Arabidopsis thaliana: one gene and its partner. The protein of the gene in region 2 interacts with the protein of the main gene of each other region in a biochemical or structural test. Each region holds a gene or a part of one and is shown on either strand. Other genes may lie near its edges.

Evidence for each region.
Region 1: the proteins of NIA1 (region 2) and GRF2 form a complex in vitro, tested with the Arabidopsis thaliana proteins (one study listed by BioGRID).

Annotation. Positions count from the first base shown.
Region 1 is NC_003070.9:29,459,629-29,464,199, reverse strand, and holds GRF2 (general regulatory factor 2), read right to left. Parts: upstream 2,810-4,571; 5' UTR 2,318-2,809; coding exon 1,841-2,317; intron 1,664-1,840; coding exon 1,541-1,663; intron 1,429-1,540; coding exon 1,312-1,428; intron 1,211-1,311; coding exon 1,148-1,210; 3' UTR 811-1,147; downstream 1-810. Other genes in the region: AT1G78310 (VQ motif-containing protein), read left to right, coding at 1-197. UniProt on the Arabidopsis thaliana protein: Is associated with a DNA binding complex that binds to the G box, a well-characterized cis-acting DNA regulatory element found in plant genes.
Region 2 is NC_003070.9:29,234,974-29,241,456, forward strand, and holds NIA1 (nitrate reductase 1), read right to left. Parts: upstream 4,512-6,483; 5' UTR 4,395-4,511; coding exon 3,341-4,394; intron 3,263-3,340; coding exon 3,122-3,262; intron 3,030-3,121; coding exon 2,797-3,029; intron 2,358-2,796; coding exon 1,032-2,357; 3' UTR 748-1,031; downstream 1-747. UniProt on the Arabidopsis thaliana protein: Nitrate reductase is a key enzyme involved in the first step of nitrate assimilation in plants, fungi and bacteria.

The DNA of each region.
Region 1 (4,571 bases), 220 kb from region 2:
CTCCTTCCTCTGCTGTTTCGCAGACGGTGCCGACATCGATTCCGGCGCCTCCACTGTTTGGATGTTCAAGTTCGCCTAAATCTCCGTACGGATTACTCTCACCGAGCATACTTTTATCGCCATCGTCAGGTCAATTAGGGTTCCCTGTATCTCCGACGACGGTGCCGCTTCCTAGCCCTAAATACAAAGGTCATTGATCAGAAAATCGGAAACCCTTGTCGGTCAAAGTGAGAAAACGTCGTCGTTTTGACCGTCGCGACAAAATTCCCTTTGTTCTTTTTGTACATCATTAGTGGAGAGTGGTGGGATCATTTGTTTTTTTTTTTGTTAATTAACTCAAAGATTACTTAAATCCGTTTTTTTTTTTACTTTCTTTTGTTTTCATGGTTTGTTCATGTTAGAAACAAAGAAGACTAGGAAAAAGAAAGGAATACACTTTTGCAACTCTATTCAATTTTTATAAGTTTGCCATTATGATTTCATCTCTTTGTAAATCAGATTGCATACAAGAGTTTTTTCTTCATCGTCTATTCGATGGGGTATTAAATTTTTGATTGGTTGATTAGCTATACCAAACACTTCACTGTTCCTTTGGTTGAATTTTATGCTCTGATGCTTTCATTTTAAGTTGAAACTTCAAACTCTGACGAGATCATTAATTTAAACCTGTAAAGTGTCAAATGACTAACGAGTGTCTATTGCTTAAATAGTTCTTTTGAAATGTATTTTTATTTTTATATAATCAAATTGATGATTGATTTCAGACCAGGTAAAGTAATTGGCTTTACGCAGTCCAATAAACTAGTCCGCTTTTAAAATTAAAAATTGATAAACAATCAATCTACGCAACAAGATAAGAGACAAGAGACTTTATGATCTTCAAATTGATGAGAAAAGAAAGCAAGTTTCGATTACACAGACATTGAAATCGATAACAACAAAGAAATAAGAAAAGAGAAAATAAATTAAAAAGAGATAAAAAGATGATTGATGGTTCAGACTTGCCACAAATATGATGAATGAATAAGCTTTTGAAGATGAGCGAAATGGCAAGAGCGACCTCTTAGATGGATTAAGAAAAACATATGGACGAGAAAGAGAAGAAATTCCAAACCCTAGAAGAAAACTAGCAGTTTCACTCAAAAGATCACTGCTGTTCCTCGGTCGGTTTTGGCGCTGCTGCTTCCTTGATCTCATCCGCAGCATCATCCTAATATAATCCCCACCGTTACAGAATTTAGTCAATGGAATGCGAATCATCCATAACAGAAACAAAGAAAGAACAAAGGTGCGGGGATTATATGAACAAACCTGCATATCAGATGTCCAGAGAGTGAGATTGTCACGAAGAAGCTGCATGATCAAGGTACTGTCTTTGTATGACTCTTCACCAAGAGTGTCCAACTCTGCAATCGCCTCATCAAAGGCCTTGACGATACATAACAACAACAAAACCAGTCAAATTTATGTCCAATGAGGTCAAGTGTTAAACCAAGTCCAATCACATTATCATAATTGAAAGATGAGTAGATTGAAATACCTGTTTGGCGAGGTTACAGGCACGATCAGGAGAATTGAGGATCTCGTAATAGAACACAGAGAAGTTCAATGCAAGACCAAGACGAATTGGGTGTGTTGGAGCAAGCTCTGCATTAGCAATATCCTGCACAGATAATTACACATAGAGACTATAAGCTCAAAACCTAGACAATCTCAAGATCTTATTCGAGAATACACAAATCCCTAATTTAAGTCTCATTATACTGGAAATCTAACAAACCACCATCCACGGATCACACACTAGACTCAAATAAACTAGATCTGAGATTCGGAATCAAACCTGAGCAGATTTGTAAGCGGCGAGTGTATGTTCGGCGGCGTCTTTCCTCTCTTGACCAGTCTTAAACTCAGCCAAGTACCTGTGATAATCTCCCTTCATCTTAAGGTAAAAGACCTTGGAATCACCAGAAGCAGCGGCAGGGATGAGTCTAGAGTCAAGCAACTTAAGGATTCCGTCGCAGATTCCGGAGAGTTCCGTCTCGATCTTAGACCTATATTCACGGATCGCCGTGACGTGGTCATCGTTACCACGGCTCTCTTCCTTCTGCTCGATCGATGAAATGATACGCCACGAGGCACGGCGAGCACCAATCACATTCTTATAAGCGACGGAGAGAAGATTTCGCTCTTCTACGGTGAGTTCATCGCCATCAACGGCGGCGGAGACTTTCTCCATAAACTCTACCATCTCTTCGTACCTCTCCGCTTGCTCCGCGAGCTTAGCCATGTATACGAACTCTTCACGCCCAGACGCCATTGTTGTTTCTAGAGAGAATCGATCTAAGGAAGAAGAATCAAAGAGGGAAAGATCTGAGATCTGATCAAAAAGAGAGAAACGGTTTCGATTAGAGAATCGGGTGTTGTAGGTCAAGCGAGAGAGGACGATGAATGAGTTTTTGTGTTTAATGAGGGAAAGTGATAAATGCGTTTTAGAGGAAAAGAGTGAAATTTGGAACCAAGATCTAATCTGGGCCGTTGGATTTGTGGCCGGTCCTGCTTTTTAAAGGGGGATTTTTTTTCACCTCAAATTAAGAACAACATAAATACACTTTTAGAAAAATTGGTAATGTGATTATTGGATAAAATTTGGTCAATTAACAAAATAATTGGTAATGTGATTTTGCTACTATTAGTATAGGCACCTTAAGGAATTATAAAATTTTGGGTCTAGTGGTTAAAATAGGGGCTAGTTTTTTGTAGATTTGTTAATATAGTTATTTACTAATTGTGAAAAGAAATTGGAGTTGTGAGATTGATACAATAATGGAAGCAAGTTGGGTTAACAAAAATGGAGACAGCTCAGAGGGACACATGTGTGTTGTGAGCATGTCAGGGGATCCAATGGACCCTTTCTTCTCCAACTCAGCTTTCACATTTTTGTGATTGCTCAAACGGTTTTTTTTTTCTTCTTTCAAAATTTAAATACTTCGGAGGTTGTCTATTCTTCAAATCTTCAAACATTCAACTAAGTACGTAGGCGATTCTTACGAGCTTTTTAAAATCATTATGTTCTTAATTATGTGGTTGTATTTGTACTGAAGTAATTTATTAAAATACTACAATATTTGTTTTTCCTTTTTCCGTTTTGCTTAATCCAATGCTTATCCAGTTATCCTAATCCATGATTATGTTTTTTCCTATCTTACTCCTTTTTGTTAATTTGTTTTATTTGCATTAGTTTTCTTGATGATTATGTTTTACATTCAATGAAATAATAAGATTACTCTATACTTTTCTAGCATAAATATTAACTATACAATAACATGTATTCATTGAACGTATAGTCATGATATATCTAAAGATCATACGTTAGAAAAAACCGTCATATAAAAAAGGCGAAAATTCGGATATGTTCGAAAAAGATTTGTGGTTAATCTAGCTATATAGCGTACGCAAGTAGATCAAAAGTTTTTGATAAGTATTGAGATAACTCCTAATTATAATTAGTCATTTAGATAATGATGATCCTTATCTAATTAGCTTTCTTATCTCTATGACTATTTATATACGATTCTCTACTTGTATAGAGACCAATCTTCATGAAAGTGTTAATACACCAGATGATTTGCTCCGACGTGTTGGGTGTGGGGGAGATAGGGACGAGAGCATGAATCGATGCGAAACGTAAGGTTTGAACCATATCGAAGTGTTCATTCCCTAATTGCCATCCCCCTTAAATTTTGGGACATTCAAGAAATATTAACAGAGATAACATTATCTGAGTTCATAACATGGATTTACGAGTGGTCGGGTTTGATCATACCTAGCAGAGATATGGACGATTGACAATTGTGTGTTTTTGACGGATGAGACGTGACATTAATAACTTATACGATGACACTTATATTAATGCATGTTGGTGCATGCTCAAGTCAACATAAAATAAGAGGTTTGGAAGCCCAACAATTGAGCATATGTGGGATATCTCCGAGGCTCCCCTGCCAATAATTTTAATTATCTTCCCTTCTTTTTCATTCTTAACTTAAAAAAACTTCCGTCTCGATGTGATCTATGACTATGATGAGTCTATCTTGTAAATCATATGATTCATATTGATAACTTACGGTATAAGTTATGATAATAACAACAAACGCATTATCTTATTTGTCGTCGACTGTCGACAACAAAAGATCTTACAATTTTATTATAAGTTTCTGACAATTAACTTTAGGATAATATTTTATTTATTTTTGTTGAAGTCTTTAGGATTATACATAAAATACTTCTCAAATACCAACGATCAAGTTACTTTAAACTTCTTCCAACGAAACAATCATTAGTTCATTCTCTTATGGAAGCCAATCAAATCCCTCTAAAGAATAAAACCATGAACTTTGTTACTACTAAAATGTTTTCTGTACTTAGTTTCGTTTAGTCCTTAAGTTGATAAATTTTTTTTACCAATCTTTACTATTTGGAGTAATGCGATTAAATAAGGTCGAATTTCGATAGATGAACCGTTAACGATTTGACGAAGACACTTTTCCTCAGTGTTATCTTCGTTCGTTGAC
Region 2 (6,483 bases):
ACAAAGTAAATCCTAAAAACATGGTTCCATGCCAAAAAAAGGTAGAACTTGTACTTTCGCCGGTTGTTTATATATCCCACTTATTCTTTTCAGATTGCTTACAATATATCACAATTCGACTGCAGATATTTATTATAGAGTATATGTTTTTAGAGATTCGATCTTGATACAAAGCGATGAATCAGAGTATTCAATTTCATTATATAGTTGCAATATCACCGAATCCGTTCTTATTATTTATTCACTGTGGATCTTGAATTCTCTTTATAATTAATAATTAAATATGGAATCATGGATACCTTCATTTTTAACTTTCGTTACTCACTATGAAAGTCTTGTGTGACAAAAAAAAAGATCCAATGTTTTTTACATATCACCATTCTCCATAATATTATTACTTGTAAAATGCGTATGAACCACGAATCTTGTGGGGCCGAAACGAAAATCCATTTTAGATCTTTTTCCATTTTTTGTATCGAACGCATACTGTAGCATCATTCGTCTCCCTTTGACATAATGATATGCGTATCTTTGCATTAAACGTTTATTTTCATGCATGTTTGTCTTTTTTTGTTGTCACTGACGATTGAAAGCAACACGACCACAAGTGGTAACTAACTTAAAACTATTAGTCTTATACGACAAAACGTTTACCAGGCGTGATTAAATGAATAACACTTGATGTGAACTATAACTAACTTATTAGACGACCAGTAATAGATGACACGACACATTATGGAAGCATAATAACTCAAATAGAAGATGTTGTGACATGAGTCCTGACATGCAATAACAAAAAAAAAACGATAATATCAAGACACAAGAAGTTTGAGTTACAATAAGTTCATCATTTATCATCATCATCATCAACAACATAGATCATAATTAAACACAATTTTATACAATATACAATTTGGAGCTCTGATAAACAACAACTATAACAAAAGTGCCCAAATAACCATGTATATACACACATAAGCGATACTTGTTATCAACTTTCGAATTTCCAATAGCACAGAACTTGAGCAAATCTAGAAGATTAAGAGATCCTCCTTCACGTTGTAACCCATCTTCTCTAGATTTGGCTGCAACGCAAACTGAATCATAGGCGGTGGTCCGCATGCGAGTGCTAGCGATTCGCCTTCCAAACCTTCAGGGATATGTTCCCTAAGCACAGCTTCAGTTATAAACCCGGTACTGTAACTCCAACCTTCCTTTGCGATTTCAACGACGTACCAAATCTTTAGCCTCTCCTTATGCTTACTAGCCCATCCTTCTAGCTCTTCCCTCACAAGAATGTCATCCTCGGTTCTGTTTGCGTAAACCACATACATCTCGGTTTCGTCCTCTGGATCACTCAATATAGATTGAATGATCTGGTAGATAGGAGTGATGCCTGTTCCTCCGGCGAGCATTGCTAGTTTCTTGGCAAACTTAGGTTTGCCGCTGACCAGGAAGTTGCCTTTGCCTTTGTACTCGATGTGCCCTAGTGGACCTTTGATATCTATCATTGACCCGATTGGTAACGAGTCTAAGTGTTGAGACATGAGTCCACCATTGGGAAACCTTGGATGAACGTCTTTGAAGTAAACTTTGACGACGAGGTCGATATGACCAACCGCGTCGATGGCGCTGGTGGGAGTATAAGCTCTGAGACAGAGTTTGTCGTTTATGTTGGCGCAAACGAAAACGTGCTTCCCCACGGGTAAACCAAGCTGTTGATCTTCTGATGGTAATGCGAATCGGAACTTACGAACGTCGTGCGAGATCGAAGTCTTCTCAATGAGCCTAACCGGGATTTTCTCACGTGGGTTGACCAAAGCAATGTTCTTTTGAGGAGTTAGCTCTTTGATTGGAGCTAACAAAGGACCAAAGTTTGAGGCACCATGAACTGAGACGTTAGGGGAAGAGTCGTAGCCAGTGGTGATGAGTTCACCGATACGGTAATCTTCCAAAAGCTTCTTGGCTTTGTCAGAGTGAATGGCTTCAAACTCTTCGGTGCAATCTGTACCTGCGTTTATCAGGATAGAATCTGTGCCTCCTGGATGATCTTTCAAGAAACGTGTACAGTCATAGATGTGACCGTGGACGATGATCCATGCAGAGTCAGCAGTGTTGTGTTTTCTAACTTCAGAGATTGAATACATCTTCGAGGCAGTGTTCATGAAAGGAGATGAGACAGATTTCTTCAAGGTATTGTTGGATTCTGAGGAAATCTCAAGCTGACGCTCCTTTGCCATCCACCCACCCGACTGGTTTCCGGGTCTGGTCGGGTGTTCGAAAACTATCCCTATCTCTCCTCTATGAGGCTTGCACACGTTGGTCCTAATCCTGAACCAGCAATTGTTCATCATCCCCTGTTTAACACAAGTCAACGTCGTTATTGCTTTAGTCAACATCGTTAAAAAAATAACAATTAGCTGGAGACCCTAGACTTAGACTTATGTAAATTTTATATAATTTCGATTTTAATCTACATAATTGCCCCGCATGAAGGGAGATTATAATACTTAAACGCACTACTAAAATGAACTGTACAACAGAGACACTTAAAGAATTGGTCTTTAGTTCCATGTTGATTAGTGCTCTATTAAAAGATTCCGTAAGATTAGTATTGGTAGGTATCACGTTCAAAAGAAAATATCATCAGTAGTTCCAACTTTGTAGGACGAATACAAATATCAAAATCGAATAGTTTACTCAAAAACAAGATTAAACTATTTAAATCATATAGTAAAGAATAAAGTAAACTAATTAATTCTATAATTTAAAAATATCAAGAGAGAGGATTATTACCATGAGGTTCCAGATGAGTTTATCAGGCTGAGTATTGAAAGACTCGTCCCAGGCTCGAACCGCGACGTCTTTAGCACTGAGCAGATCAAGAACCTCAACGTCAAGTGACCAGAAACACCAGCACCAGAATTTACCGTACTTGTTCGGTTTCTCCTGGTGGTCAAGCTCACAAACACTCCACGTGTCTCCTCCGTCTAGAGTCACCTCAACCCTCGTTACCTTCTTACCTCCTCCTGTTTATTTCATCAATACACCGATCAGGATTTTAATTACATAGTAAAGAATCCTTTTAACTTTTAACTAAAGCAAAGTTAAAATAAATTACCAGAATAAGCGTAGCCTTTTAATGTGTACGGCTTCTGAGTAGTGAATGCATTAATCGGTAAAATCTCTGCGTGACCAGGTGTTGTAATCACCGAGTTTATATTAAGCTCGTTGATTATGTATTCAGGCTTATACCACCAAGCTGTAACAAAAACAAGTAAATAATATTAGCATCGGTAACTAAAATGTAAAAGAAGACAAGGGTAAGTTAATAGTTTACCTTCGGAATTTGCCAGCTCAGCATCAACGAGAGAAGGAAGGACTCGATTGTCTTTATAGTGATAGTAACTGTCAGATTCTTGAGGCGTGACGATGATTCTCTTTAACCATTTAACCATCCGACCACCGATGAAACCCGGTACAATGACCCGAACCGGAAACCCATGATCCGGCGTTAAAAGCTCGCCGTTTTGCATATAAGCTAAGATAATATCTCTAGCCGGATCCATCGCCATCTCCTTCTTAATACTTGTTCCGTATTTAGATCCGCCGCCGCCGGGAAGATCCTCCGCTCCTTCGAAGCAAACGTTTAACGCGCCTCCTCTCCGGCTATAGATCCCGCATCGACGGAGGATTTCGCTTAACGGAATACCTTTCCATAGAGAAGTAGATACTCCGGCGGATCCCCAATTGAATCCGATCGTTTGTTTCACCATGTTCTGTTCCTTGCGGCGATTACCGGCGCAGACGAGTGTCACCGGGAATTCGCGGCTGGGGAACTCGGAGATTAGCTCTTCCATGGTGAATTTAGCCGGACGTTTAACGAGTCCGGTAATTTCGATTGACCAGTCTGACCAATTCGCTTTGGGAACTGCACCGTGGTTGCGGACGTAATGGAGTGGAACTGGAGTGATGAATCCATGGTGCATAAGACGAGGAAGAGGTGCTTCGGCGTTGAATGGATGTTTTCCGGTGAGACGGAGCATGGATGAGTTACGTTGAATCCAACTATCAGCCGTTGATTCATCTCTCGGATCTAAAATCGACGGTTCTAAATCGCTGTTTGATTTTTTAACCAGCTCTTTGTAGTAAGGGACGTTACGGTTATGGCTCTCGTCTTCGTCGTCGCTTGAGGAGTCGTCGTAACTGTCTACGACGGTGGTGATGACTTCGGTTTCTTTGACGATTTTAGTTTCGGTGAGGATGACGTCGAGAGTTTGGTTTTGGTGACGGTGGCGGTCGAATGAGCGAGGAGAAGGAACGAGAGGAGGTTTGAAGGCGTGAGCGACGCCGTTCATGGTGGGATAATGGCGGTTATCGACGGAGGTCGCCATGGTTTAGTGATTGAACCGGTGATAAGAGAGAGATAAGCTATTTTTTTGGTTTTGGTTTGGTTTGTGAAATTTTTTGGTTTCTGAATGAGTAAATGAGAGGTTGTATTTATAGGGGGCGTTACAGAGATGAGTAAATAAAATAATTAATAAATTAAGAGAGAGGAGAAATTGACAAATGTGAGTTTGTGTGGTCGCTGAGTAGAGGGACCCACCTACCTAGATCCTAAGGTTTGGCCTTTAAGGCGGGAGATTTTTATTTCATAGGATATATATATTTGCTTTTAAATACTAATGCGATATGAAGTTAAAAATAAAATGCGGGTCTAAGGATTCGATCCGTGGGCAATATCGTGGGAGGGTACTATGATTATGATACCTCTCTCACTCAACACTTAACTTTAATACAAAGAAAGAAAAAAATTGTGACAAACATATGCATAGTTTTCTATGGAAAAAAATTATATCGTCAATAGCCAATTCATTTCTTTACGTTAAGTGTTGAAATGTTTACTGGTCTTGATCATAATTTAGCTAGTTATTGATAATATAGTTTTGTTAAAAGTTTCACATTTATGGTGTCGGAATTGTTTGTGGCCATTTAACAAGAACATATTATTTATTTTAGCGTAAACCACAGTGGAAAAACCAATTATAGACTGCAAAATATATGTAGAATATGAAAAAGCATGTTCATGCATGTTTATTTCTTTAGAGTTAATGTACTCCGACACTGAAATTGGAAAAGTCAGAGAAACCCTATTGGAGTCTATACGAAACTTCCAGGAAGTACTTTATGTAATAAACAAAAATATTGCACTTAAAAAAGAAGAAACACATGCCTTCCCTTGAAGCTATAAAATTTAATAAATTGAATACGAACAACAATCGAGTAACCACGGGCAAGATACACCTTTCTCTTGAGGAAAAAAAGCTGAGATAAACCTTCCCTTGGATCCACAAACATGGACTCTTGTATAAGCAATGCTGAGTTCTTTTTTCTCTTCCTCACTCACTACTAGTTCTTGCTAGGGAATGTTCTAGCTAGCTAACGTAACGTACTTACGACATAGATATAAAAAATACCCATCAAAAAAAAAAAAAATAGATTTGTCTATGCAAAATACTGGGTATTCTCTTTTACAATTGTAAAGTGCGGATGCAGCGGAGAGTAAATTTTGGAGAAACTTGAATTTTCAATCGAAGCACTAGAATGTTTTTTTTATCAATGTGTCACGGCGACAAAATAGTTTATTTATTTGGAATATGCATAAGTTAATGTGTGCCCCCCAAAAAAAAATGCATTAGTTAATGTAAAACAAGAACAATATTACCTAGTTTTATTCCACAAATATATGATATGGCAACGAACTTTTCGATAATATTGAATGATGATTAAAGACAAAAGTAACACGTAAACTTGCTCATAGTTTTGGGAAATTGTATGTTAATGAATGCAAAATATCATAGATGTATGACTCAAGATTAAAAGTACATCACGTGTACATACATATTACATAAAAGGGTATTAATCAGCATATTCACAGATAGATTTTGTCTATATTGACTTCAATTTCTTAAAATCAACGTCAAATTAGACGTCAGTGTAATAATAAGAAAATGGAGAGTGAGAATCCTGTGGGCTAAAACATATATGTATGATATGATATTGAGCATATTGTTGACTAGTTTAATATAGAGAAATTGTATTAATTAATTAAGTCGAGAAAGTAAATATCTCGAAGATTTTTATGGATTACATGACGATTAAGAAGATAAAGCGCAATTAAGTATAAACTAAACAGAGATTATGGTATAAAAAAGGAGTTTAGAGAGAAGACTTTGGAGGCTAAGTGGCGCATGGGAACACCAACGGCCAAGCAAATACACGAACGGGGCAACCAAACAAAGGGACGGGTCGTAATATTATTTTTGTCACTTGTTTGAATTTTCGATTTTCTGTTTTGTTTTGTTTTCTACTAAAATGGATTTTCGATTATTAGATTATTAATTATAAATGATACATGTGTAAGAACGTATGGACCCGCTAACTTTTATCTTTTGCATCCGGTGTAATGAAATAAATTCAAGA